2 linked regions of the Alligator mississippiensis genome follow. The protein of the gene in region 2 interacts with the protein of the main gene of each other region in a pairwise test. Links are inferred from orthologs where the notes say so. Each region holds a gene or a part of one and is shown on either strand. Other genes may lie near its edges. The genes, in order: PDCD10 and C2H4orf19.

Region 1 (16,085 bases), on a different chromosome or scaffold from region 2:
CATAGAATTGTATATTAAGGTTGAAATGGTTGTAAGATTCAGCAGATGTGGCATTCCTTCTGTGGATTAGGTTGGACCCGATGATCTGTAAGGTCCTTCCCAGCCCCTAACAACTATGAAATTATGAGTGTACAACTTTGGGGCAGTATAGGCTCCTGTTCAGTATGCTTCACAGACAGTGTGCGTGTTATGAGCATACTGGGACGTCACTCAGAGGGCAGGTATAAGGTTGTGTGAGCGCAAGTCCGCATTTTTTTGGTTTTGAGAAATCTGAGTTCTTAACTAGATATTTTGCAAGATACATCAGCAGTAACCTTACGAAACATTAACGTAAAGTTGTCATTGATTTTTAACAAAGGAAAAGATCTGTAGGAGTTAATAATTATTCTGGCAGTTGTAACTGCCACAAAGATTTGCAGCCAAGATGCTATTTTGGTTAGGAAAAGAATGCTTAATGTTCTTACTTCTCTTGTATAGTTTTTATACTAGAAGGGAGATAACGCACTGAAATGTTTGGACTGTAAAGTCATTGTTAAAGCTAGCAAAAGAAAAATTCAGATGTGGCACATGTATACCCAAATTTAATAGGTTTATCACACAGTGGTTACAGTAATTCTAAGTACATGAAAACAACTAGTGCATCTCCTTCTCCATCAATGTCCATCCCAAACTAGCTCTAGCCACACATCTACCCTTCCTTTATCATCTCACTAAAATCAGGGTTGTGCAACTAGCAGCCCACTAGGGGCTGGGGCTGCCTGTTAACCCTTGCCCAGCCACAACTCTCCTTATTGCTTCACCTGCTGCTGAAAGCCAGGGGTCTCTAGGCTCCTCTTCCCACCCCAGAGGGTGGGCCAACGCAGTGCTGCAACAAAGGAGCTGAGTTTTGGGCTGCCCATGCATGGTGTAGTGACTTTCTACACATGCAATTCAGCAGTATGAGGGGGAAGGGGTGGAGGAAGAAGAGGAGTTGCCTGTATGGACAATGTAGCAGGGAGGTCAGGGGTAGTTCAGCCTGGAAGCCCAAAGTTCATGCTAGTGCAACCTATGAGGCATGCAATCCCCACTGGTGTGGCCCTTAGTCACTTAGTAGTTGGAGACCCTGTACTAAATCATTAGCACAAAAAGTTACTTCTTGATGTCTGATGTCCTCTTCCACTATACTCATAACTTATCATAAGGTAGGTAAATTACCAGACAGTCACAGAAGCATGAGCTGTACACTGCATCCTGTACAAACTCTCCTTCTCCCTACAACAGACTCAGATATCCTGAGACTTGATGCAAATTCATGAACTTCAGAAAACTTAAAAGTTAGAATTTCTCAGTTTAAAAGCACTCTTTACCCTTCATTAAAAGGCCTTCTATTCTAAATAAAGAAGATTCACCACTTCTCTAACATTATAAGTAATCACACTGTTTAGATATCGTCTGAATTGGTGTCCCATCTCAAAGGTACAGATTTTTAGCCCCACATAAAATAGAGTGTTTTTATGCAAGGTTACTTTTGCCATTACAAAAGATCTGTAATTTCCCAAAAGAACTAAGTGGGGGGGGGGGGGGAGATGTCAGGAGAAAGAAGATGCTGGCTTTCTGGATTTGTAGGAAATCCTTTCATATCAAGACAAATAATGTATGTTACTCATCTCAACTCAGGGCAGAGGGTCGGACTTGACGATCTAAAAGGTCCCTTCTGACCCTAAAATCCACGAATCTATGAATCCCTTAGTTTCAAGCATCATGTTTTCCAATGTCAAAATAGAGCATTACACCATAAACTGGGGAACATACCTCATTGAAGACAGGATACATAACAGCATAGAGTGGCATGGAAACCATAGAAGTAGTCTCTGCTTCATTCTTCATCTCTTCCATTGTCATCCTCATTCAAAGACCCACTTCTCAGGAGAAATGCTATAAGAGCAAAAAACTCCACATTCACTAAAGTGTTTCTTCTTTTTCCTCGTTGTGTAAGAATATTTAAAGAACTGGAAACTTGTTACCCTAAGGGGAAAAGAGAAAACATTATAAATGCCAATCTACTCCCACAATTTCTAAATAATAGATTACAACAAGAGATTTCAAATAGTAGATTTACTACTAGGTGGTAACTGTGAGGAGTGATTTGCTCACAAAAAATTCTTAAATTCCTTGCATTTCTAGCTAATGATGATGTTAAAAAGCAAGTAATTTTAGCTCATACAGGAATATTTTGATAAGTCAGACATCACTGAAAAGGTATTCACACACTAGCTTGACATTTTGTAAAACTATTAAAGAAAAGGTGATTTAACATTACCTTAGGAGGTCACATAAGTGCTGATTTTTGGGGACAGGCATTACATCTACTAGTAACTACTGTTTTTACTCTCTTACTTATTGATAATGTCCACAAAATGAACAAGCATGTCAAGTAGAATAGTGGACTTTGTAATGAGAGTAAATGCCACTAGATTAAGGGTATCCATTTAATTAATCAGTGAACAGTCATATATTGTCCAGGCATTACTACTTAGACCATATTTAGCCCATGATTTAGAAGCTAAAAAATGTATCATAGACATTTATGATTTCCTTCCCATCCAGCATTTTTTTAAACAATGGAATAACTATAAATGTTAGAATAATTCAGAAGCACAAGCATTCATGAGGTGAGAGATGGGTAGGAGTTAAAAAGATATGCAATGCCCTAGTCTCATCATGATAATATAAAGTACAGTACATTAGTCACACAGATCACTATTCCCCCCCAGCAGATATGCATACATTGGCCAGATAGTTTAGATATTGATTAGAACAAATAGAAAACTTAGAGTGTATTTAAAGAGAAATATAGCATGATGAGATGCATGCACATTGTAATTTCCTCCTTTTGGAGGTGGAAAACAAAAACTTATGTAGTAGTTTATGGTGAGACGCAAGGTAGATAATGCTTCCTTACAAACATACACCTGCAGGTTTAGAAAGCAACCAGGCTCAAATATCAGGCTCAAAATGAACAAATATGATCTTGAAAAGAAGGCTCAACATCCCAATTACAGATTGAATTATGGTCATCTTGGAGAGCCAATGTGAAAAGACTATCAGATGTTATCACTCAACAGAAATTGTTATTAGAAAATGTACTGGTCTTTACCTACAACTAAGTCAAGGACAACAGTTAAATCTTAATACGAAAAACTATCATTCCTTGTTGGGGAGTGGCGAGGGAAGAAGTTGAGCATATGTAAGTCTTATACAAATTGTTCTTTTAACCAGTCTTATGTCGCCTGATCATCAGCCATATCACTGCAATTCACTTTACTCATTTTCAAATAATGAAAAGAAACAAGTTTTTGAGGAAAGGATTTGTTATAAATTGTATAAAGCACTTTGTTTGCATGACTTATAGCAGGGGTGGCTAATCTGGGGCACCGGGGCCACAGTCTTTGGGCATGACACATGGTAGACCAAGGAGGGGAACAAAAAGCAAAGCAGCAGATCAGGCAGGGAGGATAACGAAGAAAGCAGAGCAAATGATCAGGCAAGGGAAGGCAGAGTGGCATTTGCTGCAGGGGGCGGGGAAGGAGGCACAGGACTAATTTGTGGCCTGCCTGCCAAAAAAAGGTTGACCACCACTGACTTACACTACAACTCACTGTCTTAACTAGAAGTTGACATCTTTGTCCTGTAAGGCAGGGGTTTTCTTTTTTAGTTTAAGGGGGTAGTGCGTGGCCAGATGCTGAGAGAGAGAGAGAGAGTGTGTGTGTGTGTGGGGGGGGGGGGGAATAGCGCGCGGCTGGACACAGAGCAGGGAGGCAGGGACAGTGCACAGATGGGTGGGGACAGAGCACCACTACCTCCCAGGACCAGGGCCAGGCTGGGATGAGGAAATTCTTCTCCAGGCTGGGGTGAGGGCAGCAGTGCCCCTCTGCAGGGGTGGGGAAGCTCACTGGGCTGGGGTGTGGCAGTGGCAGCAGCTGCTGCGTGTGAGCTTCCTGCTCCTGGGAGGCAGCGACACTCTGTCCCCACCCACCCATGCATACCCCTTAGGACTGGTCCAAGTACCTCCAGGGGTATGCATATCTCCAGTTGACAACCCCTGCTGCAAGGCAACACCTTGTGTGATCGGTAGACAGTACAAGGCAAACTTGCATATTATTAGTGCCTGAATAAGCTGGTCGAGGCATAAGAAAAGAAAAGATGATGTACTTAGTGCTCTTAACTTCTCACATGACTTAGCAATTGAGGGGAGGAAAAAGACAAGCAAAAGATGGCAGCTTTAACACTGCCTAAGGCACAAGGAGGTTTGCCAGACGCAGTTTACATGAAAGCCACTTCTCCTTACACTTCATAGAAATGAATGTTTCTAGTCAAGCAGGAGGAGTAGGTTCAGTCCATTTTACGGATCAAGACCTTCAGCTGACAGCCATAGCAATCCATGAAGTGGACTGAGGAACTGAAACACAAACTTAATGTTTGCTTTGTGGACCATACCTTAGTTTAGGGTCTCTGCATTGTTTCCACATTCAGCATAGTCTAAATACCACTGTACCTATTATGTTCATTTTGCGTTAAAGTCCCTTTCTTTTATATGTAATTAAAGGGCTACCTTTAATCTACAAATGCTACATACTCTGCAGACCACAAGCTACTCTTCCTGCTTGACTAGAAGCATTCATTTGCATAAAAAGCGTAAGGAGAGGTGGCTTTCACGTAAACTGTGCCTGGCAATCTTCCTTGTGCCTTAGGCAGTGTTAAAGCTGCCATCTTTTGCTTGTCCTTTTCCTCCCCTTAATTGCTAAGTCATGTGAGAAGTTAAGAGGCACTAAGTATACCATCTTTTCTTATGCCTCTGCCAGCTTATTCAGGCACTAGTAATATGCAAGTTTGCCTTGTACTGTACACATGGATCCATCAGAATTAGATACAATACATCCACTAGAATGCAGCTTCATGTGTTGCTCGTATTTGGAACAATGCAGATCCCAAAACCCAGAATGCAACCAAAAAAACTAGAAGACAAGGAACTTTGAGTTCATGGGAGTTTGGATAAGGAACAAGTTTCCAAACATTAATTGTAATCCAGACCGTGGCCATTTTTAAAGTTTAGTGTCCTTCTTCTTTGACAGAGGCCTTTTCACCATAATCACAATGACATTTTGTTACCTTAGCTTTCCTAAGGAAAAACAGGCACATTCCTAACAGCTTCCTGTTACCCAAAAAAAAAAGAGAACAACCTGAGAACCTGTCTTCCCATATAGTTTCCCATACCAGTCTAACAGAAGACATGCCCATATGCACTGGTAACAAGCATCAGTACACATTCTAAAATAGAGGCAGTCAGAACAAGAAGTGCAAACAAGGTAATTATAGTGCCAAGAGCACTGTGAAACATGAGACATTGTCTCTGCTCTGAAGAGTTTTGCTAAAGTCAGCTCTTCAGTCCATCATTTGGTGGTGGTGAAAGCATATTGCCTCAAGTACACATGAAAGAAGAAAAAAAAAGGGGAAAACACACAAGCTCTTGTAATTTTTGTCCCACCTTTGTAATTTTTCTTTCCAAAAAAGGGAACTGAAGGAAAGGTGCAGCTTTCTACCATATTTTTTAATGATGCACAAGACAAGGAATACATGAAGCAACTGTGGTATTCTACTATAGCTCATGATAATGGAAATGATACAGGTTAAAGTGTCTACTCTGCCAACAAAGGGTGTTAATTACAGGGTAGGAAAGACCTATATACCTATTAAAGGAAACATTGTTAGTTAAGCGTTTGATTTTCAGAATACATAAACTAACACTGTACTTAGGAATTTAAAAAAGTAATATTAGAGTACTATATGAATACACCTCTTTGTACTAAGTGCCTGAAAGGTGTTAGGAAAGCAGTTGTCACAACTTCAGTTACTCCTGTACTTGTACCCTAATTATAATAAAATCATAATGGTTAGTATTTGTATAACTAGTAAGAGCTGAATGGATTTTAATCACGACTGCAATGAACAATTTTCTTAAACGTGCTTCTAGTTAAAATTTAAGTTAAGAACTGAAATAGTCATACTTAGGAGTTGGTGACCTCCGAAGCCTCAAATGAACTTAAGTGTCAGGACTAAAGAAACGAAATCAGTTTCTCTGTCATGCAAAAAATCTACATATGCTTATACCTGAATCTGGAGAGCTTGTAAAAACTGAGCCATTCCTTTAAAGTATCACTATTTGTACACCCTGGGAAGACTCACCTCCCTTGTTCACAATACTAGTTTTAAAGCTCAAACTCATTCACACACACATGCATCATATGATAAACCTCCACAAAAATACCTATCCTGATCTGTAGAGGGATTTGCCAAAAGTGAAGGGGGTGGGAGGGAAGAGAATCAGAAATAAAACTAGATTTTGTACACTCTCAAATGAGAAAGTAGCTTACACTGACACATTAGAAATCAAATTCTAAAAAACTTATTTGCCAAATGTCAGCCTTTATTCTGCTGCTCCATCCCCAAGATCCTGCATAACAAGCACTATTACAACATGCCCCCAAAGATCAATAAAGTCCAGCTATTCAGACTACAGGAGTCAAAGGAAAGATCCAAAGTGTCTGATTTCACTAAAAAGTGTGCTACTCCAATTTCTGTTTCTTCATATTGATGGGATCCCTGCCAAACACATACTACAGCAGCCCCTTAAAATGTTTGGCTTGCAGGATCTTAAGCTCCACCCAGACTCCAAGAAGCATTAGGCACAGGTAACAAGTCCCTAATGTGAAGTGTTCCCTGTAAGATATACCACTTACGACCATGCTGCTGCATCCTGTGCCAGTTAACTATGCTCAGTAATCTGAAAGCATAGTCCCATGAAGAGTTCACTTTAGCAGCCTAATCTTAAAAGCTACAAAGGTATGGATTACAGTAGCAAGATCTCTATCCAAAAGAGGCAGTAAATCTCCACAGCTAAGAGAAGATTTTAAAAGTCTGTCTAGACACAGCTGCTTACAAGTTAAGACCATCTTTGAGTTGCAAGATTTACTAATAGACAGAATATAAAAAGTCCTCAATTAGAGAGAAAATCCTAATCCCTAAACTATCTTCAGGATACTTCTCCAAATTATCAGTTACAGCAGTAGCTGAATTAATTGAAATTCTGCAGCTTGCTTTCATCCATGCCTGAAGATTTAGGGTAAGCATTAGAAATGTAGAACTGTCTGTCATTATCATACTGAAAATACCACAAACTCAAAAATCTTCCCAATGGTCAGATATGCCCAATGACCAAAGTGTGTATGTGTGGGGGAGGGCGGGGGGGACTGAAAAAAAACACACACACAGGTACTCAGTCTTTATCACCAATAAGCAATCTAGCTATAACACTAGTGCAATCTCCATCCCATGCTCAAGTGCCAACTGTCATGGATCAAGGAGAGCAGAATTACTTTGGCAGTCAACTGTGACACCACAACTTTCTCTATATCATTAGCCAATAGTGGAAAAATAGATACTGTATATGATTTACCAGATTTACAACAATAAAGAACTGGTTTCTGAGCAGAAGCTCCATAACAGTTGTCTCAGAGAAGCCACCACTATCACTAAAGGAGGTGCTGATAATCTAACAATGTAATATTCCCTACTTTCCCTGAAAGGAGGCTGTATTGAAAAAAAAACTCCAAGATCTCTAGCGCAGTGGTAAGGATGAGGCCTAAACTCCACCAGGAAAAATTAGTATTCATTATGTAGGATCCCATTTTGCGTTCATGGAGGTAGACAACTTAGAATTTAACAGATGCAGGCCACCTCCAGACTAATACAAGTTTCTGAACAGAAAGCAGTTGACAGTCACTTGTATACGTGGCAACGTTTGTGACTATGAAAAACAGCAAAATGTGGTTAGCTTTCATCATATGCCACTTCTATATAAAACTCACAACGTAATGTAAGATTATAACGCAGACAACTTGTCAGCGGTACGTGTTAATAGATTTATTATAATTACTTTACATGACAAAAAATTGCTGGTACTTAAGGTTGTATTGTTTTAAATTGGTGGTGCGCAATGTGTCAGAGTTCGGGAAGCGCTACATTACACTATTAGGCCCTTGTTCCTTATGGAAAACTAACTCAGGCACCTGTGCTACATTTGAGTAATGCACTGCAACTTATGGCCCACCTATACCCGTTTGTTTTTAGGACAAAATGTACTAATATTCCACCTACCACCACATACCTTAGATTTTTGTTTATTTTCTTTTTTTTAAATCAATTTTAGTTCAAAAGCCATTTCACCACTGGGGAAAGATACAAGGTATGCATAAAATAAAAATCCTGCTGCTAAAACAGATAAAACGTGGTATCTGCTCCTTTGCTACCACTTAAGAGACTTTGTCTCACCAATTAAGAAAACAGCCACCTTGAGTCTTTCAGGTCCCAGGGACAAGTGCAAAGTGGTACCTAAATATAATTTCTTGTCTTCGTCCAATGACCTTCCTCAGCACTCTGGAGGGCCTGCAGAAGACTTCCTGCTCTCACCTTGCTCCAAGGTACTTCATCCAGATGGATACTTGAACTAGATTAGATACTTGGGGTGGATAACGCAAGTTCTACCTGTGGTTACTGAAACTATAAGCAAAAATTCGAGGAAACGCACAGAAGAAAACATCACCCTTTCACGTGCCCCTCTAAAGGGAGTTATGATCAGATGCAAGAACTTGGTGTTACGAACCTAGAAGCTGGAGTTCAAATACGATTCCACCCAAAACATAATTTTGCATTCTTCTGACTGCCATGGCAACTGACAATACTCATTGACCTTCCCATAATGATAGTGGTCTTTTTCCACTAGTGTACAATAGTGGGAACCAAACTTTAGCAGGCATGCCACAAGGAAAGCCCCACACCCACCATAAGTGCCACTCCAACCTCCTTCCCCTGCCTGATCTGCTACAGTGCTTCCTGCTCCCCGCCCTATCACAATGTTCCCTGCTCCCTCCCCGATCTGCTGCATGCCATACAGAGGCTCCCTCAGCCACAGCTTGGCCACCCCTGATCTACAAGATGACTTCAAACACCCTTCAAACCATTTGTCAACAATGAATCATATAAGAAAAAGGAAGGGATACAAATCACTATGATCAGGCTGATTAGATTTTTGTTTAGCATTAAAAAAAAAAAAACACCAGACCACCCACTTAAGTTAACATTAGAGGAATTTACTACTACTGCAAAAACATAATGAACTTGGCCAGTCTAGACAGGTAGAGGTTAAGGGAAAAAATAAAAAAGCCACATGGTCTTGGTTGTATGGATTACACTTTCCCTTACTTAACATTGAAAGTAGCTTAAAAAAAAAAAAAAAGTAGCAAAAAAATTACTGATTCAAGTTTAGCTTTCCCAAAAGCTTTTCTTAACTACACTGCTACTTGCACAGCCTGTGAAATGGTATATTCATATAGAAAGATGAAAACAAGCAACTCTACTCCTATAAAAACATGACTGTCCATGCACATACATTTAGTTATTTTGTATATGGCTGGGTGCCACTACTTCAGAAGCTAAACTAAGAGGTCACAGGGGAAAAAAAGCCACTTGGGAGAACGCTCAAGCCACCCACTTTTCTAAATCCGAATCCATTTTGAACCTCATGAGTTTTGCAAGTCACTCCTCCCGAGTCAGAAACCCCTCACCCTACACGCAGTCAGGGATTCAGCCCTTTTCCACCCTACCTCATTACTACGCCTAGCGAGGATGCAAGACGCCAGAACCTGCCCTCTGGGGCTGGGCTCCGATTTCTTACATCAGACAAATTGAAGAGCTGCCTACCCGTGAAGTAGCCAGGATCACAACCCCAGCAACTAGACTGCTTGCCAGGCAAACCCCCTCGTGACAGCGCCCCCCAGTTTCTCTGCCAAGTCTATTTTGGTCGGCGGCCTCCTCAGGCCTCTTGAGATTCACTCCGGGCCCCTCCTGCACCCCAAGCTGGGGCTGGTATGTGAGCGGAGCCTCCCGGCAGCGACCCCGGGGCTCGGCACCTCTCTGCGGGAGGACGGGGCTCAGTCAGCCCGCACAAGGAGCTGCACCCGGGGGCGCCCCAGCCCGGCTGACACCGGAAGGGCAGGTCCGCCGCCCTCGCTCCGGGCCCGGCCTGCGGGAGGTGCCGCACCAACAAAGGAGGGGTTTTCGCTTTCCCCTTCCCCCACACCCCTCCCGCTGAGGGAACCCGGGCCCAGTGTGAGCGGGACGGGAACGGGGACGGGCGCGGGCACCTCCGCAGCACCCGCCCCGCCCCCACCCTTCAACCGGGCCCCGATTCTCCAAGGAGTTTTACGCCCCAAGAGCAGCGTAACCTCGGCGGAGCCGCCAGGCCCTACGCAAACACCGCAGCGACCCCAGCGGGCCCGGGGAAAAGAGAGGAGAGGGCGGGGGACAAAGCACCGGCGCGCCCCCACGTCCCGTACCTTACCTCCCCCCGCCCCTCCGAGCCTTCCCAGCTGTAGCGCGGGCCCCGCCGCCGCGCCGGAAGTGCCTGCCGAGTAGGAAGCGGCGGCCGCGGTTACCACACACCAGGCGTTGCCCGGAACTCGCCGGGTACCGCGCGGGCTCCTGGGAACTGTAGTGACGCGCCACGGGACTACATATCCCATCATGCCGCGCGCGCGGCAGGGCGGGGGAAGGAGGAGGAGGAAAGGGGCGGGGCTGGAAGAGAAGGCGGAGAAGGAGCGACCAATGGGCGCGAGGGCCCTGAGAAGGGGGCGTGGCCCCGAGAGGGGCTGGGGAGGCGTGAGGCAAGGCAGGCGTTGGCGGACGCAGTCGAATCAGCCCCTAAGGCGGTCCGCGAGTCGCGGCCAGCGCGCAGCGAGCCACCAGAGCCGAGCCGCCGCGGAGCCGCGCGCAGCCCAGCCCAGCCTCTCCGCTCCGCTCCGGGTGAGTGAGTGAGGGAGTGCATGTGTCCCACGCCGTTCCGCGATGCTCATTATTATTATTATTATTATTATTATTAATTTGTAGCGCTTCTCCAATTTGGGGGTTGTTTGCCCTAATTAAGTATGTATGTATTTATTTATTTATTTTGGCACCTTTCCCCCCCCACCCTTGCAAAGCTTTAGCCTGAAGGCGTTATTCAAAAGTGCCCCTCGGGCTCTCCTGGAGCAGTGGAGATCCACACCCACCTCCCCCTGCCCGAGCCCGGGGGGAGAAACAAGCCCCTGCCTCTGGGTCCAACGCAGCTTATTCCTCGCCCCTGCGCTGAGCAACGCGCCCGAGCCCTCCTGTTAAAATGTGATTTGTCTTCCCAGCCTAATAATCCGGTTTTGCAGAAGCTCTTTCCACACTCCTGGTCGCTGTTTAAGATCTCGGTCTTGTTTTTCTGTTCCCCCGCCTCATTGTGATTTGTAATCCAGCGCCTTGTTTGACAGCGGTTGGGGCTGCGTTAGCATCTGCCCTAGAAAATCCATTGTAACGATTCAAGAAGTTTTAAAAACTGCGGGAAGTCAAAGGGGTGTCTCTGAAAGGCAGCTCTTTCATGTGTAAGGTGCAGCAGGGGAAAGGGAGCAGGAACATCTCTCCGGGAAGCCGGCGAGGTTATTGTTGAACAGACGTAATAAAATATCAGTTCCGAGACTTGTGCCGTTTTCCTTCTTCAATTTGAAAGCGTGTGACAGCATCCCATTAAAGTGTCTTTCTCATTTATTATATGCTGTAGGTTGTATCGTGTGGTTCGCTAAACCGTGTGACACGCAATATTTGAAATCAGCCTCGTTGAAAGTTTCACATCTTGACAGCTTAATAAAATGAATCTCTGACAACATATATTTCTAAGCCTACTTATATGATAATTCCCCCCCCGGGGCTTAAAAAAAACCGGAGAAAAACTAAGTTTTATTTCAGACCGCCTTTAGGAATAAAAATCAAGATACTCTAATAATTGTGTACAGCTCATTGAGCTCTTTAAATACAAGACTCCGTTAACTTAAAAATATTATTACTACTTTAAGTTCATCAAGCTGCAGACAGTGGTACTGTGTCTTATCTACAAAGAGCAAATTAGGCTTTATTGTAGGAAAGCTTTAGAACTTGAAGCTTTAAATAGTATCTAAAATCAAGAAATGCTTTTTTAATAAATTGGATTTCAGAATCCATTGCATCTCTTTGATTTTAATTACATAAATGTAAAAACAGAAAGTTTAAAAATGTACTGTATATTGTATGATACCTAATATATTAACACTTCCTATGTGTTCGGAGACGCATGCATGAGAGATGCCACCAGCTGAATGAATAGGTAAATGATTAAGCTTATCAACCAGTGGTTATCATTTTCTCACAAAGAGTATCATAATACAAAGCCATATATACCTTTGTGGCACCTGGCTCTGTAGTGTGGGAACAGAAACCCCAAATATAGGCGACAGCAATACAATGTGGAACTGTTCATCACATGTAACGACATTAGTAATTTAATGCAAAAGAAGGCAAGAACGCTCGGGAAGACATCTGGAATGTTGTGCTCCATTGGAAAAATATGTATTTCATTCCTCTTTCTTTTGTCTTAATCTATTCTTGTGTGATTCATCAGATACCCAATAATGCACATCCCTTGTTATCTGTGGAGAACACTTAGAATTTGTGTAATGTTCGTAAATTTTAATGCATGTCACTAATTGCTGTTGGCTTTGCTTCTTGAGGACTTTTGGTTGAATAATCTTCGCATACTCTGCAGCTGAATCTGGTAAAGAATTAAGCTACTATCATTGAATAAAAGTGTGTGCATGTCCCCTCTTCTGTGAAACAATCCATAAAATGGGTTGGGGTAGATTTATGTTATATCAAAATATTATTAAATAGCTGACATCTCCCCCAAATTCTTTAACCCTGAATGTAGCTTCCTCATACTGGAGTCTTTAGTTACAGCTTAATACATATTTTCTTCCTTTATTTCATCCTGCTTTTTCAAAACTGGTTTATGTTGGTTGTGTTGGTTTTAGGGGGAAGTGGGGAATTTTTTTTAATTTACTACAAATAACAGTCTTTAATTACTTTATAGTGCAAATCTTAAAATATAGTTAAGGCACACTAGATGTATGCTTTCATAGTGTAAGTCAAAGCATTGATAGGTGTTTGATAATATAAGGCACAGCAACTTCTACTTCGTTCTTGTGGAACTGCATAAAAGAAGCAAATTTTGAGGTAAATGTTTGGAGAGCTTCATTCAAACTGGCCCAATTTAAGAAGTGACAGCTCATAGTTGATTGAATGACAGCCATGTGATTTGAGCCTTGCCCGCTCCCCACGCACACACGCTTTTCCTCTCCTCCTTCCCACTAAGGAAATGAGAGATGACCCGACTGGTAATTTTTGCTTCCTTTTTTTTTACAGAGTCAGGTCTTACCTCTACCAGCATCCTAGCTCTAAAATAAATGTAATGGTGAGGGCAAGTGAAAAGTATGGCTTGTTCAGGCTCAGTAAACTGCAAGTGAGAGTTGTAGTCTTTGCCCTTCCTCCCCCTTCCTCTATTTTCAGTGTTAATGATAGTGGGTAAAACCAGAACATAAGAACTATCCATGCTAAACATCCATCTCACCCAGTCCCTTGTCTCCCATAGTGGCAAACAGTGGATGCTTTAGAGCAGTGATTGTTAAGCAGATGACATTCAATACCAACAAATGTAAGGTGCTCTAGCTTGGGGGGGGAAACCCTGCAGCACGCTTATAGGCTTGGCAGTACTATGCTCGCTAGCACCGTGGCGGAAAGAGAGTTGGGAGTCATGAATGACCACAAAATGAACATGAGCCATCAATGCGATGTCACAGCTGGTAAAGCAAACAAAACCCTGGCTTGCATCCATAGATGCTTCTCGAGTAAATCTCAGGATGTCATCCACCCGCTGTACTTGGCCTTGGTGAGGCCGCAGCTGGAATACTGCATCCAATTCTGGGCTCCACATTTCAAGAAGGATGTGGAGAAGCTTGAGAGAGTCCAGAGGAGAGTCACGTGAATGATCAGAGGACAATAGAACAGGCCTTTTGAAGAAAGGCTGAGAGCCATGCGACTTTTCAGCCTTGAAAAGCACAGGCTCAGGGGTGACCTGGTGGCTGCCTATATGTACGTCAGGGGTGTGCATCAGGATCTAGGGGGAATGCCTGTTCACTAAAGTGCTCCAAGGGATGGCAAGGTCCAATGGTCATGAACTCCTCCAAGACCGTTTTAGGCTGGACATCAGGAAAAACCTCTTTACTGTCCAAGTCCCCAAGGCCTGGAATAGAGTCCCTCCAGAGGTGGAGGGAATCTATTCTGGACTCTTTTAAGAAATGTTTGGACGCTTATCTTGCTGAGATCCTTTGACCCTAGCTGACTTCCTGTCCCTTGCAGCCCTAGTATCTATGAAGCACCCTGGGGTGCCTTGAGATCCTTTCAAGTGTGCTACAATGTGCCATGGAACATTAGCACTGGTAGGTGTGTAAGCAAGATTCACAAGAGAAACCAAGAGATTTCAGATAGGAATTCATAGTTTTAAAACAATTCTGACCTGTTGTCTGAGTCTTTTTGAGCTCTTTGCAACAGAAGTGCTCTATTATTTTTCTGTAGTCAAAACATGAGTGAAAATTAAGAGCTGGCTTTTTCTGAGAGATGCTTTTAATCTAATGAGGGTGCCTGGGGGTTGAGAACTGCTGGTTTAGAGAGAGAGTATGAGAAACTGGGAATGTGCCCAGTCAGACCCTCTCAGTTCTTAAAAATGGTATGAAGAGGAGCAAAATTACAAATCTGACTCAAGGTGGCTTTTAAGCCATTGGTTCCACAAATCAAGGCAGAGTCCAAAATTTTCTATAAAATGAAGCTGGTTTTAGCGGTCTTATTCTCATTTCACTCTTACATAAGCCCAGTAATGTCTCCCTTGAAGCCTGTGGAGGTACACTAACAATGGGAAGAAAAAATCAATTGGTGTTAATGATAGCTTTTCCAGTTAATTTGTCAGGCTTCAATAAGTAAGATCTGCACTTTATTACTATGAAGTAGCAAATATATCAAGTGCACAGGTTTTGAATGCTTCATGTAACACTGGAGGCAGGAAGGGAAACCCCAGACCTTTTATTTGGAGGGAAGATATTTTATATCTTACCTTTTGGCCATATTTCTAAACTGATGTTCAAAATCTGTCTTTGATCATCCAAGGGATATGTTTCAATACACATTATAGATAAATGGAAATATAGACATGCAAGCTTTTGTTAAAAAAAAATATATACATGTTTTGCAAGGTGAAATCAGAGCATAGTGTAATCTATTTTCACTTCTGTTAAGATCAATTTGGGGAAGTCTGATTGTGTAATGGCTGAACAGTAAGAAGGGAGGAAATGCTCTTTCATATGAAACTAAGTTAGTTGTGGAAGTTTTGTCCAATAATCTCTTGTATTCTAATTTTTGTGCCCACAAATGTTATGAGTAAGCAAGGAGACATTTTAAATTGTGTTACAATCTTCACGTGGCTTCTTCAGAGAGAGCATGGTACACAGGCAGTTAAAACACTTATCTCAGGAGACCAAGGATGTCTGTGGTAGAGGTGGGATCAGAACCCATTTTTATATCTTGACCACAAGATGATTCTGGACTCCAGTGAGCCCATCCGTATCTCCATATACACTTGTGGATTGAGGTTAAGTCATTCATCCTGTTTTGTGAATGCTTTGTCCATTTTCACAAATGGACAAATGGACCTGCCGAGGCATACATGATGTTGGAAAACAGCCCATCTGCTCTCATGAAGCCCATGTCATTTATTGTTCCTATGACTGTTGTCAACATTTTACTTAACAGAATGCTCCTTTCCTGAACAAATATTTTCCTGTAGGACTGTCATGCAAGAACTAATGCCAGAAAATGTTTCTCTGTGCCAAGTGCCTGTTCTAAGGATCTTAGCCTCCTCCTACCCTGTTGGAGTTCATCGCTTTTCAGTCGGACCTTCCATTGCCACCCTGTCGTGGTTACAAATACACGTGCTCACCAACTGTAGCATTGTGCCACAGATGTTAGAGACAAGATGTTTATTGTAATGCCTTTATTTTCAAATCAGTAGTAGTAAAATGTATTGAAAATTAGTGTCTAGTCTTACTTAGGTT
Region 2 (16,085 bases):
TCCACCCCCCCCCCCCCCCCCCCGGACACACATTTAAGAAGGGTCAAACATTCAAAGTAAAAGCAAAGAACATTTTACTTGATGTAAACATGCAGCTCTCTCCTTTCTGTTGTTGCTTTCCTCTTTCTGATAATGTTGCAACAGTGTTTCTACACAGCTACCTTTCTCTATTTCAGCTGAGTGGAAAAAAGAGTTGGGGTTGGGGAGACTGACAGCCAGCCAGTGCTTTGAGCAAGACATTTTTCCTCCGGACATATTAAAACATTCCATTTCTGTCTACTTTGCCATTTTATAATGTATTTCTACTTCACATCTTCAGCAGGATTCTATGCATGTTTGACAGATCAACTCTATGAGCACTAAATACATTATTTTGTAGACTGCTGTATCTCTTCTGTTCTCTTCCTGAGTCTGATTTCATGTAATAAATGCGAGGAATAAATTAGAACACATTTCTTCCTTAGTTCTTTGTCTTTTGGCTGTGATGTGAACATTTTGCAGGAGGAGAAGCTAGTAAAGGTGCAGGAAGCAGAGTATAATTGCATATCCCAGGGGAATTGGGAGTGGGGGGATTTACTTTATTAAGAAAGTAAACACTCATAAAACACTTTGGGTATGTAGACAGGCATGGTTCTTTGGGTATATGTGATATCTTTTATTAGACTAACTAAATAGCTGGGAAAAAGTTATTTGCAAGCTTTTGGGCACAAACACCTTTCTTCAGGCATTAGAAGCCTGCACTAGAGACAACTGTTGTTAACATCATGATATAGAAAACAGTAAAATTGCCTAATACTGTGTATGAAGTCCTCCAAGGAAAGGTTCCACAACATAAAAGCTTCCATAACAACTCCATCAGATGTATTATTTTTCTTCTAGTCTACTTGTCTTTTTGGCTCAGTCTCTGGGGTACATTTTTTATATAGTATTTAAATCAATGTGTAAAGCATTGATCTGTAGTAGTTTATAGTATCTGTGAACTTTCCCAATTGACTGTTTAAAGCAATTTTCTTGGCAGGCATTGACTGATGAGGACTGAGTAAGAGAATTATTGGTCACAATGACAAAGAGAGTAAGAATAAGAGGTTTTTATGTTGCAATTAGAGTAATTATTCCTTAAGTATGAAGGCAAATCTATAGTCTTAACCATTATTAAAAACAATCCACAAGTGGCTAAGGTATTGTAATGGTAAGATGGCAGTGAAATACAGGTACATTTCTGTTATTGAATTGTAATGTACTTGATTTCTTATCTTGATTATATTTACAGTCTTTTTTTAGTCTCAAATTGGAACAATGCTTAAAAGCTATAGAAAAATATTTGTTCCTTTAAGATACTTGGTGATGTCTGAATTGAAGCCAGCTAGCTAATCCATTTTTACTTCCACAGAAGAATGGGTTGTTTTCACTACAGTTATCAACCAAAATTGCACAGTTCAGTATGACATAGGGGACTCTGATTATAGTGAAGTAGCTTGTGATACTGTATACTAGTAAATATTGTGCTGACATTTCCCTTTGCTCAAAATGTTTCATACCTTAGCTGTAAATAATGTAGTTCAGGTTGCTTTTTGATATGGCATATTCCCAGTGCCTGGAAGTACTATTTATTGGCAACAGCAGTGCCCCCTTTCAGGATAAGAACGCTGTTGAAACTGAACTGAAATTTCTTTTCGTACAAAGATACAGTTTAGTCTGGAGGCTGCAGCACTGGTCTGGCATTTAGGAAATCTGGGCTTTTTTTCCTGGTTCTGCTACAGGTATGCTGAGTGACCTTGGGAAAGTTCCTTCAATTCTCTTTGCCTTAGTTTTTAAAATTTTTTTCCATGTAGATAATTATACTTAGCTCCTCAGTAAAGTTCTCTCAGATCTACAGATAGAAAAGGTCTGTATCAGAGGGATTATTCACATGGAGCATTTGGGATTTGGGGATTTGGACCATCACCTTAGAGCAGGGGGCCGTAATGTTTTCTGGTGGGGGGAAGGGTAGGGGCTGGAATGACTCAACTTAGGTCTGAGGCATCTGGGCATTAAAACCAGCTGCCACCACTGCTTTTCCCCACCATCCAGCTATGGTGTGGTGAAAGACCATGCTGCCCAAAAGGGGTGCAGAGTAAGCAGAGTCACCCTCCACTGAAGCCTAGGGCAGCCAACTGTGGTACAGTACATGGAGAATCCCCCCATTGCCAAATGCTCCTGAACCCATGGCTCAGCAGGCTGGATCTGGCCTATTGGCCATAGGTAGCTGACCCTGCCTCAGAGCACTGGTGCCAAACCTTCCAACACTGCAGGTTGGATGAGTGGCATGGGGTCAGTCTGGACTGGATCTTGTGTGGTGTTATTGAGTAGGGTCAGTCCATAGGTGTGATCCTGCATGCCTACATCCAGCCATGGAGTAACCTTGTTTGCTGGCTCAATTGCCAGCCAATGCAATCTAGCATGGAAGGTCACATTATTTATCTTAAAGGACTCCCCACAGGTCTGGAAATTTAGCAGCAGGGGAGTGGCAATTACAACTGCTATCACTCCACCCCCAAATTTCTGGATCCTTGGGGAGCCTCTCCCCCCTCCCCCCTGCCAGCTGGATGGACACAGCTCTGCAGGCTGGATCTTTGGGGGTTGAGCACCACTGCCTTAGAGGATCTTATACCTTTACATCAAAGACTCACTGCTTTTTAGGTTGGGAAATTTTGAACCAAAAAGTAAAATAAGATAAAACTTCTAGTTAAAATGCTGAAGACATGAAAACTGTTTTGTTTTTTTCAATAAAACATATTCATGTTTTTGGGATACTTAAATTGCCATGCTCTGGGTTTAGACCATCTGAGTTTAGAGTAAGCCTGGACTGTGCATATACTCTAATCTGATAAAGTGAATGCAGCACAACTGCAGCAGTGCTGGTGAAATGCTTTGCTCTGTTATATGTTGATTTGCCCTGTGCTTGTCAAAACAGGTTATACACATAAGCAGGGAAATTATACTATGTATACATTAAAATTATTTCTGATTCAGTGGACATTTATTAATTTACTGTGTAACTTTTGAATTAATACTTAAAGCTAGGTTAACACAAATCTGATTAGTTGGTGCTAGGTCTCACTCTGCACCGTAAATTTAGAAATGCTCACTCACTGCAATCCAAATGCAAATTGAAAAGTTGGATGGACACCAAAAGAGAAGAATATTTGTCTGGACTATGATTTAGGAAAAAAAAAAAGAGAATGAAAAATTAAAAACCTATTTTATTATTAAATGATAAACAAGACATAATAAAACCTGTGACTTCTAAAGTCATCTACTTATGAGCCTAAATATTTTTTTCAGAATTGCTGAACTCTTTATAGTTCCTAATAAATTACCTGATTTTTAGAAATGAGCTTTTGTGCCTCTTGTTGAGGTTGGTGTAAATTTTGTCCTTAACCTCATTGGGAGCAGTATCAGATTCAAAGACACCTAGTTTAACAATTACATTTGTTTGACAATTCTGTGCTTAAATCATACAACAAACAGATTTAATCTATCAGGGTTGCTGTTCTTTTGTATGCATATTCTTTGCCAAACTATTGGAATTGCACTTGCCTTTTCTAACATTTATTAGTAAATAAGGACCAACCCTCTAGCAATCTGATTTTGTTCAGTGCAGTGAAAAGTGTTTCCAAATGTTTTGAATTCAAAATAATTCAAGAACATAAATTTCATGTGACTTTCTTCTGCCTTAGGGCTCTCTGCTTGGGGTTGATAGTTTAGCTTTTGCTTCACTTGAAATGCAAATGAGAATCTTGCAGTATTTTGTTCTCTAAACTTCTTTGCCTATGAATCAATGGCTGGAATTTCACTGTATATCTTACATGCCCAGATGTTGCCTGTTCACTCCTAGCCTGCTGTTTAGTAGACAACTTGGAAGTCCAGAGCTGATATCAATTCATGAGACATCTGCTAAATTTACATGAGAAATGATAATACAAAACAAACACACACAGTAGAGCTACACAGCAGGTAAATATTGTTTTTTCCATGCCCCACCCAGAGCAGGAAAACCTGCATAAAGGACATAAACAAAGGCTTCTTCAGTTTATTGATAACACAGTAACCTCTTTTTCCACTGAGTTATAAAGGTGCAGGGCATTCATTTTGCTTCAAAAGCCTGAAATCTGCAGGGTCTCATACTGATCTCAGTATATCAGTTGAGTAGCTCCTTTGAAATCAGTGGACTTAAAGGTGTATGAGTGAGATCACAATCAGGTTCATATTCAGTTCCCAGATGACAGAGGAGTAGGAGCTGATAGTATTTTCTCTTGGGAAAGAAACTGCACTACATACATGGAAGCACTGATTTGCTAGGAAGCACAAAAGGTGTAAAGATAGCAGATGTATGTTGGTACATCTGTACTGAATTCAACCCTGATGCTAGAAAACTGCATTACAGTTAGGCTGCCCACAGCATCCCCCCGGGCAAAAAGCACTGTGCTGGTGAATGCAGCTGCAGGATGAGAAATGCCATGAAAGTGTGTTGGCAGTCCAAAATGAATATGTGTATGGGATCATAGTTGATTCTCTGTCCCCATATTCATGCAGAGAGCTCAGGCATTTACAGGAGGACAACGTAATGTAGCTCCAAAGATACTGCTGGAGAAGTGATGCAGCAGTATGCCTCTCAGGGTGAACAGTCATCCTCACAGCAGCAGATACTATGTCATTAAATGAGAGAATGGGCTGTCACAGGGGCCAGTACCTAGGGCCTGTTTGTGGATGATGACTGTGACAGTCTGATGGTTTAGCAATCACTCATCAAAGCAACTAAGGATCCCATCAGTGAGTACAGTGGGGATCAACAGTTTACCAAAGAATGGTGTCATCCCTTATAAAAATATCACCTGTCCCTTTTGAGTATTTTCCAACAATGGCGAAACAAGATTGGATGGCAAAAGAAAGGGGGGATACAATGAGTCCACAGGGTGATGCTCAAGTCTTGGGGTGAAAGTGTATGTAACACCATGTTTTCTACGCTAGCTCTTTTATTTTCATCCTCATTTTGTTAAGCAATTACATCAGAATACTCCATATAGATGTATGGTGTTAGGCTGTATCCTGTTTCTATGGAAGTCCCTGGCAAAAATATCTTAGACAGGATTTCAGTAGACAAAATAGACTGAATAGGAATACTCTGCACTGGTCCGAACCTGCAGAGAGCAAACCAGGAAAGCCAAAGCTGCAACGGAACTAGCTACAAATATCAAGGACAATAAAAAGTCCTTTTTTAGATATGTGGGGAGCCAGAGGTAAAGCAAGGGCAACACTGGACTCACTCAGGGAGTGAGTGTGGCGGTGACAGCAGGCAGACCCAGCTGCTAGTGGGGGTAGACAGACGACTAACCCTCCTCCCTGCCCGCCTCTGCCTCAGGGTCCATGGTGCCCTGTTGCTGCAGCAGCAAGGGGGGAGCGCCCAGCAGACCTGGCTCAGGTCCCTGTTGGTGGCACAGGGAGGGGGAAATTAAATGCCTCTCTGGCTAGACCCCCGATCCTGCCTGTTTGTGCTCTGGCTGGGGAACAGGAGGGCGGAGCCAGCCTGGCTGGGCTGGAGCAGAGTCTAGCCCAGAAAGCATTTTGGGATGCTGGGGGACTCTGGTTTAACTTAAACCAGGAAGGGGTCTGGGACAGACATTGCATAAACTGTTTTGAGCCAAATCAGTTAAGCATGATACTACATTCAACTGGGTTTATCTCAAACCAGTTTGGGCCATTTTGAAACTGGTTTATGTGCACTGAATGTTCTGTTAGTTTTAAACCAGTTTCTGAACACTTATACCGGCTTGTTTGTAAATTCTGTTCCTAGCCTTAGGGTCTCGTTCTGTCACTACAAGATTTGACAGGCAAACTTAGAAGTTAGTAGGAGTTAGTTGATTGTTATGGTTAGGAATTGGACCTATTTATGTGCCATAAGCTAACTTAGACTAGTCTAAGGCCATTTACAGATGTTAAATTAAGGGCTCAATGATATCTGATATGTGATCCCAACAATTGCACTTCTGCCATGCCAGTTAATCGCATCTTAAGTTGCCATACTCAGTCAAAATCCAGCTCAATTTTTAGAGAATGGAAATTATTCCAAAGTGGGGAATGATATTAAAGAACAGAGTTTGGGGAGTTCTATATTTTCAATTTTCCTTCTGAATCACCAGATGAGGTTGCATGTGAATTTACAATGGAGCATGGAACTATAAAAAGTCTTTATCACCAGAAAGCATTTGTGGCTCTACATTGGACATTTATGACTTGAATAAGGAATGGGGAGTTAAATAAGCTGCTGGATAAAAACTGAAGGAGAAAAAAGGTCAGATAAAAAGAGAAACTCTTTGGATTTTGTCTGTCTGCTTTCTATTGTTACTGCAAAAGAAGTATTTAGTTCATACTTCCTCAGGCAATATGATCGGTACAGAACAAAATATAAATTTCATCACACATCTAAATGAGAGCTATTAACTGGAACCATGGAGAGATTGTTACTATCTGTAGTAACCTCATGACATTTTTTCTTCATCCTTCCTTCAATTCTCTCTTTTAGCTATTTAGACATAGACCTTAGAGCAATAAAAACACGTAATGATTCATGTTTCAATCCTGTTCTCTCTGATTCTTTCTCCTGCTTTCCAGTATTTGAGTTCTATGGTATAGTAACAATTAACCACTCTCAGTTTACTGGCACTGCCTGCTGCTATACACAGTACTATTGGGCTGTATTCTCATTAATTCTCCTAAACTGACCAGGTCACTGCTGGTTTGAAGAAAACTTTTTTGCTGCTTGATGGGGTGCTCATAATTCAGAAAGTAGGGCTCCTTTGCTTGTCAGTCAGTATTGAATCAACACTCCTGGATGGGATTACATGGCACTGTGCTGCTGGAGAACCCATTTGTTTAGATGAAAAGTTTAAAGACTGCGGGGGGCACAGCCAATCTCAGGGGGTGTGCATGCACCCCCTACATGTTGCCAATGCCCCCTCTGAGTGAGCTATTTTTAGCCCTCTTTCCCCCCTCCCCCCCCCATCACTCCTAACCAGCAAATTGCCCTGTGAACATGCTACCCGCCCTTCATTCTACCAACCTCCCCACCCCCTGGACCCACAACCCTCCCTGCAACCTGCCTGCCCTTCCTCCTACCCTGAGTTACTAACACCAGGCTTCTACATGGCTCCCAGGAGCAGTGAATGCCTGCGCACACTACTCCTGGAACTGCACATGCTTGTTTGCAGTCTAGGTGTAGATGGCTAAAAGTAAAGTGAAGTAAAGGTGCAGCAAACACTTGCTCACACCCTAAAAGCATGGCCACAGAACGGTAAAGGGATTTTGCTTCATTTCTACAATCAAGATGTAGTATTGCTGTTGATTTGTGCTGAAGGTTACCCTCTGTCAGTCCAACTGTAAGTAAATATCTAACTGTTTGGTCCAGGTAGTCAGAGATGACTGGAATACTAGCCACTTTGCTTCCTTGTTTGTCTCTGGCAGTGGAAGTTGGAGTGTCTTAACTACACTAGCCCAATGGGCCTTCTAGGCCCATAACTGACTGACATTTATAATAATGCTGTTCCCTGATAACTCTATTACTGTAAAAACAAGACAGAAAAAATATTGTTTTAACTATTTGAGGGTCACATTGATTATGTGTCTGTCTGTTAGACCCTTCTTTAGAGTTTGTCCATGTTTCATTAATTTCCAAGAATTTTTCTCTGCCTTTGAACCAGAAGGAAGTATTTGGTCTATGTGCATCTACCAGGGCAGCCCCATGAGTCACCTCTGCAGCTGACTCCATGTTGACATTACTAAGCATGAAGTTAAATGGGAGTATGTCATAATCAAAATGCAATAATCAAAGCAATGCTGATTACCGTAAGTATTGTTAAATTACTGGTATAAGGAACAGCGGAACCTCTAACAAGGAAGCCAGGTGTTTATATATCATTTCTATTGGGTTCTTAGAAATTAATGTGATTGTTGTATTTTTTCTCAATCCAAGTTCAGGCTCTTTCTTTTTAAAAGTAAAGTTCTGTATGTTTTATGACTGAGGCCATGGAAAACCTATATTGAATATCCAGTGCAAATATTTAATACAATACCTCTCAAACTCGCTAAGAACATTTTACGTAATTAAACATGTAGCAGATTTAACTACTGAGCTGCTAAATATTGGTTTTCCATGACCCACCCAATCTGTACAAACATTACTTAAAATGCAAGAGTCATAATATACTGCGGTTGGTATTTAAAGATGCAGTACTCCTTTTCCATTCCATTTACAGTGGGATGGCTGCCAGTCTTAGAGTTGGTACATTCCCCTCCCATGGATCATGGACTATGCACTTTGTATTATATGAAAAGTTTTCTGCAGTGATCTTAAGAACTTTGGTTCAAATTCTATTCTTACCTATCATAGTATATATTTAAAGTATTTCCTCTGAAACTAATGGTCCTACTCTAGTTTTACATCAAAGAAGTTGTCAACAAAACCTGACCTACTGTGACTGATGTACTTATATTATTTGAAGTTCCCATCTTTTGTTCTGTGTTTGTATGGGGCCTAGAACAATGGGCTCTTGGCTTATGACTGGGGCTTCTTGTTACTGTGATTATACTACTGCTAACAGTAGGTAGCACAGCAGTAACACAAAAATAAGCACATTCTCAGATGCTAGATGAGATGCACAGCTGAATGCTTCTTTCTTCCGATGGGGCTGATAGTAATCTAATTCATAAATATTTTAGATATTCATCTAATTTAAAATTTTCTGAAATCTGTGCAGCTGTGCCCATTCATACCATTTAGGATCTGGCTCAAGATAACATCCTGGCTGTTATAAGGTAATGTTCACAGAATGATATTTGAATAAACATATACTGCTACTTTAAGGTAACCAGAATTTCATTTAGATAATTATCATGCCAACTCATACCCAAACCAAACCAAAGGCTCCTGTATTTTGGTACTGACAGCTAAAAAAAATTATTTTATTCTTCACAAACAAATCTCTGCAAAATTGCTGGTTGCACTGGTGTTTTTCGAATATTTATGTGAAAGCAACAAATCCTATAATTTGGCTGATCTTATCTGGAAATATTGAAATGCATGTTATTAAGTAAGACAGCTATTTGATGACAAAAATCGATTTCCACTTTCTTTTCTTTTTTTTTTTTTCAGTTCTACATACTTAATTGATTCTAAGTCCATTGCAGGCAGCAGGAGCCTTGAGGGGAGTCTGAAGTTCGGGGTCTACTCATGAAGTCTTGCTTGGGTATAGGACTACAGGAGCAGACATATGGGAGTAGTGGGGGTCCTCAAAGTCCCTGGTCTGCAAATCAGCCCATCCTTCTTGAAAAGTGAATATACCTTCAGACTGATAAGTCTTCATTGCCCTATTTTCATTCTAAACAGTAATTTTGTGTGCTGATCAACCACATTGGAACAGTGTTAATATGTGAATATAGGATAGTGCACAGCAACTGCCTTGAGTCATAGCTTTAACAAGTATCTCCGAGTAAGCTTCTCAAACTGAATACTCATTACCCTGACAATCTGGGCAGCGAAGCAGCTGCACTGTGCTTCTGAGGGCTTAATACAGGATGCAGAGTGGGAATGCCTGGCTGGCTGAACTCCATTCCTGCCTTTGCCCCAGAGTTGTGTTGTAGATTTATGGTAGTTGCTTCTAGCCAGAATTTAAGAGTGGACCCTATTTTGACAAGTTTTCTGGAAATCCAACAACACATTCTGGGACTGATTTTTCTTCTGCCTTTTTGAATACTAGGCCTAGGGTATCTCAAATTAGAAATCCATAAATTGAAGCAAGTTCAAGCTTATGTCCACTTCTGAAAATGCAGTTGATAAGCTTGAGGGGGCTTAAAGATTCCTCATGTATTAAATGTGGGTAACGGTAGTTTTCTTTGGACAGCGCTTTGACAGCTGGCTGAAGAGCACAATTAAGTGTGACACATTATTATTATCTTCTGCTTCTCTCTCTTAATAGTAGTTAGGACAAGAAAATATATTTATACAATAAATTGAAGAAAGGGCCTTCCCAGCAACCATCCTCTCTTCCTCAGAAGGATAGCATTTAGAGAAAATCAACATTGCTGCTTGTTGCTTTAAGTAGGAGAAATTCCCAATGGGGCAATCTTTTGATAAACTAGAGGGAGAGTTGTCAAACAAGTCTGGGTACTACATTCCTGCAAAGGGAATACAATGGTGAGTTGATAGTGCCTTGTCTAAAACAATTATGTTGTTGGAAGAAAAAAATAAAGTGTGGAAAGAGGTCTTCATATGGGGAAGAGGTCTATTTGTTGCCTGACACAGTACATAGAAATTCTGCAGCAATAATGAGACCATGACCCCCCTGATACTACTAAGGTAAGTGGTACCTTATGCCATTTTATGTGTTGCTGAATATGGCTTGATACAAAAATATATACCTGACTTCCCAGATTTTAATAAGAGTTGTGGTCTTAACTGTTCCCCCACGCCCATCATTTCTATATTTTGTTCCTTTTTTTGAATTTTGAGGTTTCCAACTTCACCTGCGTTGTATTTAACTTGCAAGTTTTTGAGGAATTAACCAGATTTTTAGGAGATGGGAATTGGGAAACTGGAATCATGGGAAACCAGATCCATTAAAATACATATTCACTGAAATGATATATGCAATTCATAGCATAAAAAAGTCAGAAATGCTTAGACTCCTTTTTTCAGGCACAAGGAATGTATCAACTTTTTTTTTTCTTACAACCACCCACTTGCCCCCGACCAAAAACCCAACGTGAATGGTTTAGCAACAAGGATAACTAAAATTAATCTTAGCTTTAGGTGGTCAGACTTTTTTTTTAATTAAATCAATCTGCTCCGCTGTGCTTTACCACTAAGTGGACTGTAAATGTTTTTATTCAGAAAACATAGTGCCTCTGCAACAGGTGCAACATTAAAGAAGGAGTTCAAATGTTTTCCAGCTGAAACTATTAGAAAGATTAATCTAAAAACTAAAAGATCAAAAACCTGGTAAACACTTTATCTTGAAAATATAGTTAACATCAGGAATGTAGACAAACATAAAGGAATAAGAACTTTTCCTACCTGAGACTTTTGGGTTGGTCAGGAAGTGCAGCTCTTCTGATTAAAATCTTCCATGCCTTAGCTTGGCTTCTGCATTTGAATGTTAAATATGTAAGAATGCCTTGTTTATCTGAGAGTTTGCATGACCTCTTAATGAGACACTGTTGTTAGTGTCATTGGGTATTAAGGTATCATGTGACTGTAGATGAAAATAAAATCCTTTAAAGTTTGCATTTAAAACTTCCTAGAATCTGTAACCCTTTACCTGCAAGCTGGAAAAAAACTTGACAAACCTCTTTGTTTTCTGGTCAGGGTAAAAAAACAAAGAAAAGAAAAGAAAATGTACCAAATGATTCCTTTGCTGAAACAGGCACTTAAAGAAAGCAATTCCAAGCCAGCTGATGTAATAGTATTGCAATTCTATATTGTATATTTAAAATTCCCCCCAAGTCAGAAATTGGGCCGAACAAAGTTGCTAAAAATTCTGTTTCTCTGTTCAGGTACTTTGGCCTAGTACTTAAGTGTAGACTGGTGTGCTAGGTGGTGCTACTCAGAGGACTTGCATCTAAAATAAGTACTTACAGGTATGATATCAGGGCTGTCCATAAAAGTTACTGACTTTCCTAGAACTACTGTCTTCCGGGTGAGGTATTTTCAAATGTGGTATGAAAGGAGAGCCCTCACTCACCCCTCTCCAACTGGGAGGGAGTGCCAGACCAGAGATTTTCAGAGATACCTGCTAGCAGCCAGTCAGATCAGTTTTCCCTATTCAGGTCCTATAATACTGCCCCTTGATGAACCTGGAGATTGTAAACTGAGTCTTGGGAAGAGCTGGCTGCATCAAACAATGCCATTCCCTTGTTTCATAGGTGTGTGTCCAAGACCTTGTATTTGTCTAATCCGACAAGATTCATATTAATATAAATAATAAGGAATATTCTAACTAATTATTTCTTTGTCTTTTAAATTTAAGGCTTATGACAATAAGGCTGATAATTCTAGGTATGGTCCTGGAAGACACGCTTCTGTGTTTTAGAATACATCTATAGCTACATGTAGCTGTATGTTGGATTACAGAACTCTGTGAACTCCCTAGTGATCTAGTACGTAGGTAAATTGTAGCCCTGTGAGAAAAGAATGGCAATCATACTAAAACACAAAGAGCTAAATTCTGCTTGTACAAGCAATCTACTGACTTCTGCTCAAGATTTGCTCCATCATGGTGTTTCTTGTGCTCAGTGGGATTATAAAGATTTAAGAACAAGAGTTGTTTCACTTGTGAGCCCAATAGACTGCATTTGTGAGCTCCGTTTGGAAAGGCAGTGGATAAAACAACTGCGCCACCTAGCATCAATTTTCCTTTCCATTGCTACATAATCAAAGCCTAGACCTATAAATAAACTAACAAAAAAAAAAATGCTTTGGATGTCCTTGACTTAAACAGAGGAAGTATGTTGTTCAGGGGCTGAACATAATTGAACTTTCAGACTCCCCAATTCAAAGAGCTTCTGTAGCAGATGTTCTTGACAGTTTTCCTTTTCCCTAGTCTTTAGTACTCCTGAAAATAGATTGCAAGAATGAGGAAGGTTTTAAATAATAATAAAAATTATTAAAAAGCTTACATTAAACTATCTAGGAGGATCTGACCTGGAGGCTCTGATAAAGAAGTGAAGAATCACTGGAGTTTGTCAGATAGCCAGTACCCACACCTGTTCTAACTCCTGTGACTATTTTACTATTGTGTTTTAGATAGACACTGGGTGCATTTACATGAAATGCTTTATGCACATTAGATTAATCTAATGCCCAATAAATCATCAGCTTTTACATGTGTACAGGACTTACTGAACATTAAATTAGGTTAATGCATCATTTGTTAGTCCCCAGTCCCCTCAGCCCTGCTGCTGCATGTGTAGCACACACCTTAGTCCAGGGGTAGGCAAAATGCAACCTGAGGGCCAGATGCGGCCTGCCAGGCCATTCTATCCAGCGCACAGGGCCCCTAAAACATTTAGAAAATTAATATTTATTTGCCCCTGGCTGCCTATCATGAGGCCCTTGATGGCTTGCCAAAACTCAGTAAGTGGCCCTCCGCCCAAAATAATTGCCTGCCCCTGCCCAAGGAAAATTGACTAGTCCCCTAGTCAGCTTCAACTCCCTGCCCATGCCTGCAGAGAGCTGGGAGCTGAGCAGCACCAGGACTGGGGGGAAGATGTGGGGTGGAAGCAGCACTGGGACTGGAGGGGAGACAAGGGGTGAGGTGGGAAATGCAGTGTTGGGGACTGGTGCTACTTTGCTGTGTCTCCCTTCTTTGACCCCATTTTCAGTGTTGCTTCCTCTCCACATATCCCCCCAAGTCCCAGCGCTGCTTCCCCCATGTGTCCCCCCATGGTTCAAGCACTGCTTACCTCCATGCTCGGGCACAGGGCATTGACCCAAGCCAGTGCCACATTGCCGGGCTGCAATCCTGAGCACTGCATGGCTGGGAGCTATTCCCCAATCCTGGACAGCTCCCCCCACTCTCTAGAGTTCAAGCCTGACCCCCCTGCTAGCCTGGTGCTGGCACCTGGGGAAGCCTGGAGCTCCTCCTGGCTGCTGCAGGGGGCAGAGCAGGGCAGAGGGATAGGGGTGGCTCTGGACTGAACTGCTCCCATTGGGAGCAAATTTGCTCCTGACAGATGTGCATGTATAGATGTGTACCTGGGAGAGTGCCTTAATGAGCCTGAATTTTCTTCTGATGGTGGCCATCACATGCTTCCCTGGCCTGGAGCAGAGCATGGTGGCAGCATGTGTTGGCTCTGTCACCACAGCCTTTGCCTGCTATCCATGGCTGCTGCACCCTCAGGCCCCAGGAGCAACATCCACTGCCCTGGGTTTTTGCTCACCACCATGCTCTCACCCTGTTCACCCGCCGCGGGGACTGCCACCTTGTGCAGGTCAGTCTCAGCCCTGGTGACCCTCACCCTGTGTGGCACAGCCACCTGGCCTGGCTCACTGTGCCATTCCAGGTGTCCTGTCCCCATGCTGCTGCTTCCTGGACCCCAGCAGGGATGCCACTGATGTGCTCCTGGATGCCACCACTGGGACTGTCCATGTGCTCATCCAGAACACCTGGGACAATGAGCAGTGGCTGGAGTCCCTTCACATGATCTGGGCCACCTTCCAAGGCCTCCTAGAGCATGTCTGCTTGTACTTGGTGTGGCAGGCCACCACCATATGGCAGCCCCTCCCTACGGACACCCAGCTGGCTGTCACCCTGTCTCTCCCCACAGTGCAATCTCAGCCTCTCCCCACAGTGCAGCAAAGTCTGTGGTCTCCTCCTGGGACCAGTTGCAGCCCCAGGAGGCAGTGTGTGCCACTGGGGATGATGCCAGCATGGCTCCCTTGATGGTTTGCAGGGCATCCATGTAGCAGTCCTGGTGCTGGTGGACCGTGGCAGGAACATGCAGTGCCCAGTGCACATGCATGGCATGGGACAGGCAGGCAGGTGGTGAGGGTGTGCTAGGCACTAGCGGCGGAGTCCAGGCAGGCTGCTGTGGCTGACCTGGAGCCAGCTGGAGTGGGACCTGGTGGCAAGAGGCTGGCTTCAGGTGGCCCAGGGTGATGCTGGGCCTGGAAGGTGCCTGCAGTCCCCAGCACAATGCAACGGCACAGGCCTGACAGCTGGGCAGTGAGGTGGTGCCAGGGAGTGGCACCAGGGTGTGGGCAGCCTGCTATGGCTGGCCTAGGGCCTCTGCAGTGACACTCAGTGGCCATAGGTTGGTTGCAGGTGGCCTAGGGCCCCAGTGTCCCTGCAGGCTTTTAAGGGCTAGGGGCTGAGGCAGGCAAAGAGCCACCCCAACTCTGAGGCTGGAGAAGCTCCCAGCCCCAGGGCCCTGGGAGTGCTGGGCTATAGGTGGCCCCCTAGTGGTGGGACTGGTCAGCAGCAAATTTGCTCCTGGTCAGTGTTTACACATGCATTACTGTGCAGTGACTAAGCATGAGTAAATTTGCTACTTGTATTTATAGGTGTGCGGGCCGACCGGGGGCGAGCTGGGGCCCATCTTTGCGCACGCGGGCTGTGGCCAGCAGCCAGGGCACGCGGGGCCGGAGAAGACCGCGGCGAGCTAGAATTGATTACGGACGCGTAGTGGTTGATTAAAAGATTGTTTACTTACACCAAAAGAAGTAGTGGTGTAGGCTGGATAGCTTTCCAGGCACAGCTCTGCTTGAATCCCCGTTGGAGGATTACGACAAGTCATCTCTTTTCCCCAGAGTTGTCAAGGCTCCATGGATTCAGTTCCCCCGGAGTTGTTAAGGCTCCGTGGGTTCGGTTCCCTCCGGAGTGGCTGAATCTCTGTGGGTTCGTACGGCACTAATCTTCCCCGGAGTTATTAAAGCTCTGTGGGCTTGGTTCGGTTCCCTCTACCACGGAGTTGTTAAGGCTCCGCGGATCTGAAAATTGGGTATATAGGATAGGGATACGTCTAGGACAGCGCTTGGCGACGGGGAGAGGCTAGAGGCTGATCAGACCTCTGTTGCCTGCTTAAGAGAGGTGCGTTGGGTCCGTAAGGGTCCACATCGCTTAGAAATCTTCACACAGCGTGAATTCTCCTCCTCCTGGTGAGTTTTCTGTCTCTCCAGGTTTCCTCTCTCTCCGGCTTGGGCGGAAACCACCCAAGCATTTGTACGGCTAGCAAGCCAATAGCTAGCCACCACGTGTACCTTTATTCAGAATTGGCCAATAATTTGGCGCGAACTCCCATACAAATGGCAGGAACTCCTTTACACCGTGCATCTCTGAGATGCAAAAGAAATGCACCCTGCAAAGAAGCTGCAAATTTGGCGGGAAATTCCCCGTTGCACCGGAGTTCTCTCCCGCAGCAGAGAACTCCGCCGTGCAAGGAAGCTGTAATTTTAGCGGGAACATAATTTAGCGTTGCCTAAGCACACACAAACAAAAACTCACAACTTTGGGTTGTGACAATAGGTAGCAAATTTACTCACAATTAGACCAAAT

What was found.
Region 1: the proteins of C2H4orf19 (region 2) and PDCD10 interact in binary tests that used the Homo sapiens proteins (3 or more experiments, as listed by UniProt). The two-hybrid records come from large-scale screens. The link is inferred for Alligator mississippiensis from reciprocal best matches to the Homo sapiens genes PGCKA1 and PDCD10.

Annotation. Positions count from the first base shown.
Region 1 is NC_081830.1:73,250,915-73,266,999, forward strand, and holds the start of PDCD10 (programmed cell death protein 10), read right to left. Parts: upstream 10,527-16,085; 5' UTR 10,436-10,526; exon of another isoform or gene 10,431-10,435; intron 2,005-10,430; 5' UTR 1,888-2,004; coding exon 1,792-1,887; intron 1-1,791. UniProt on the Homo sapiens protein: Promotes cell proliferation. Modulates apoptotic pathways. Increases mitogen-activated protein kinase activity and STK26 activity. Important for cell migration, and for normal structure and assembly of the Golgi complex.
Region 2 is NC_081825.1:49,322,643-49,338,727, reverse strand, and holds the start of C2H4orf19 (uncharacterized protein C4orf19 homolog), read right to left. Parts: upstream 11,200-16,085; 5' UTR 11,108-11,199; intron 1-11,107. UniProt on the Homo sapiens protein: Acts as a tumor suppressor. Acts as a tumor suppressor for colorectal cancer cell proliferation by targeting KEAP1/USP17/ELK1/CDK6 axis.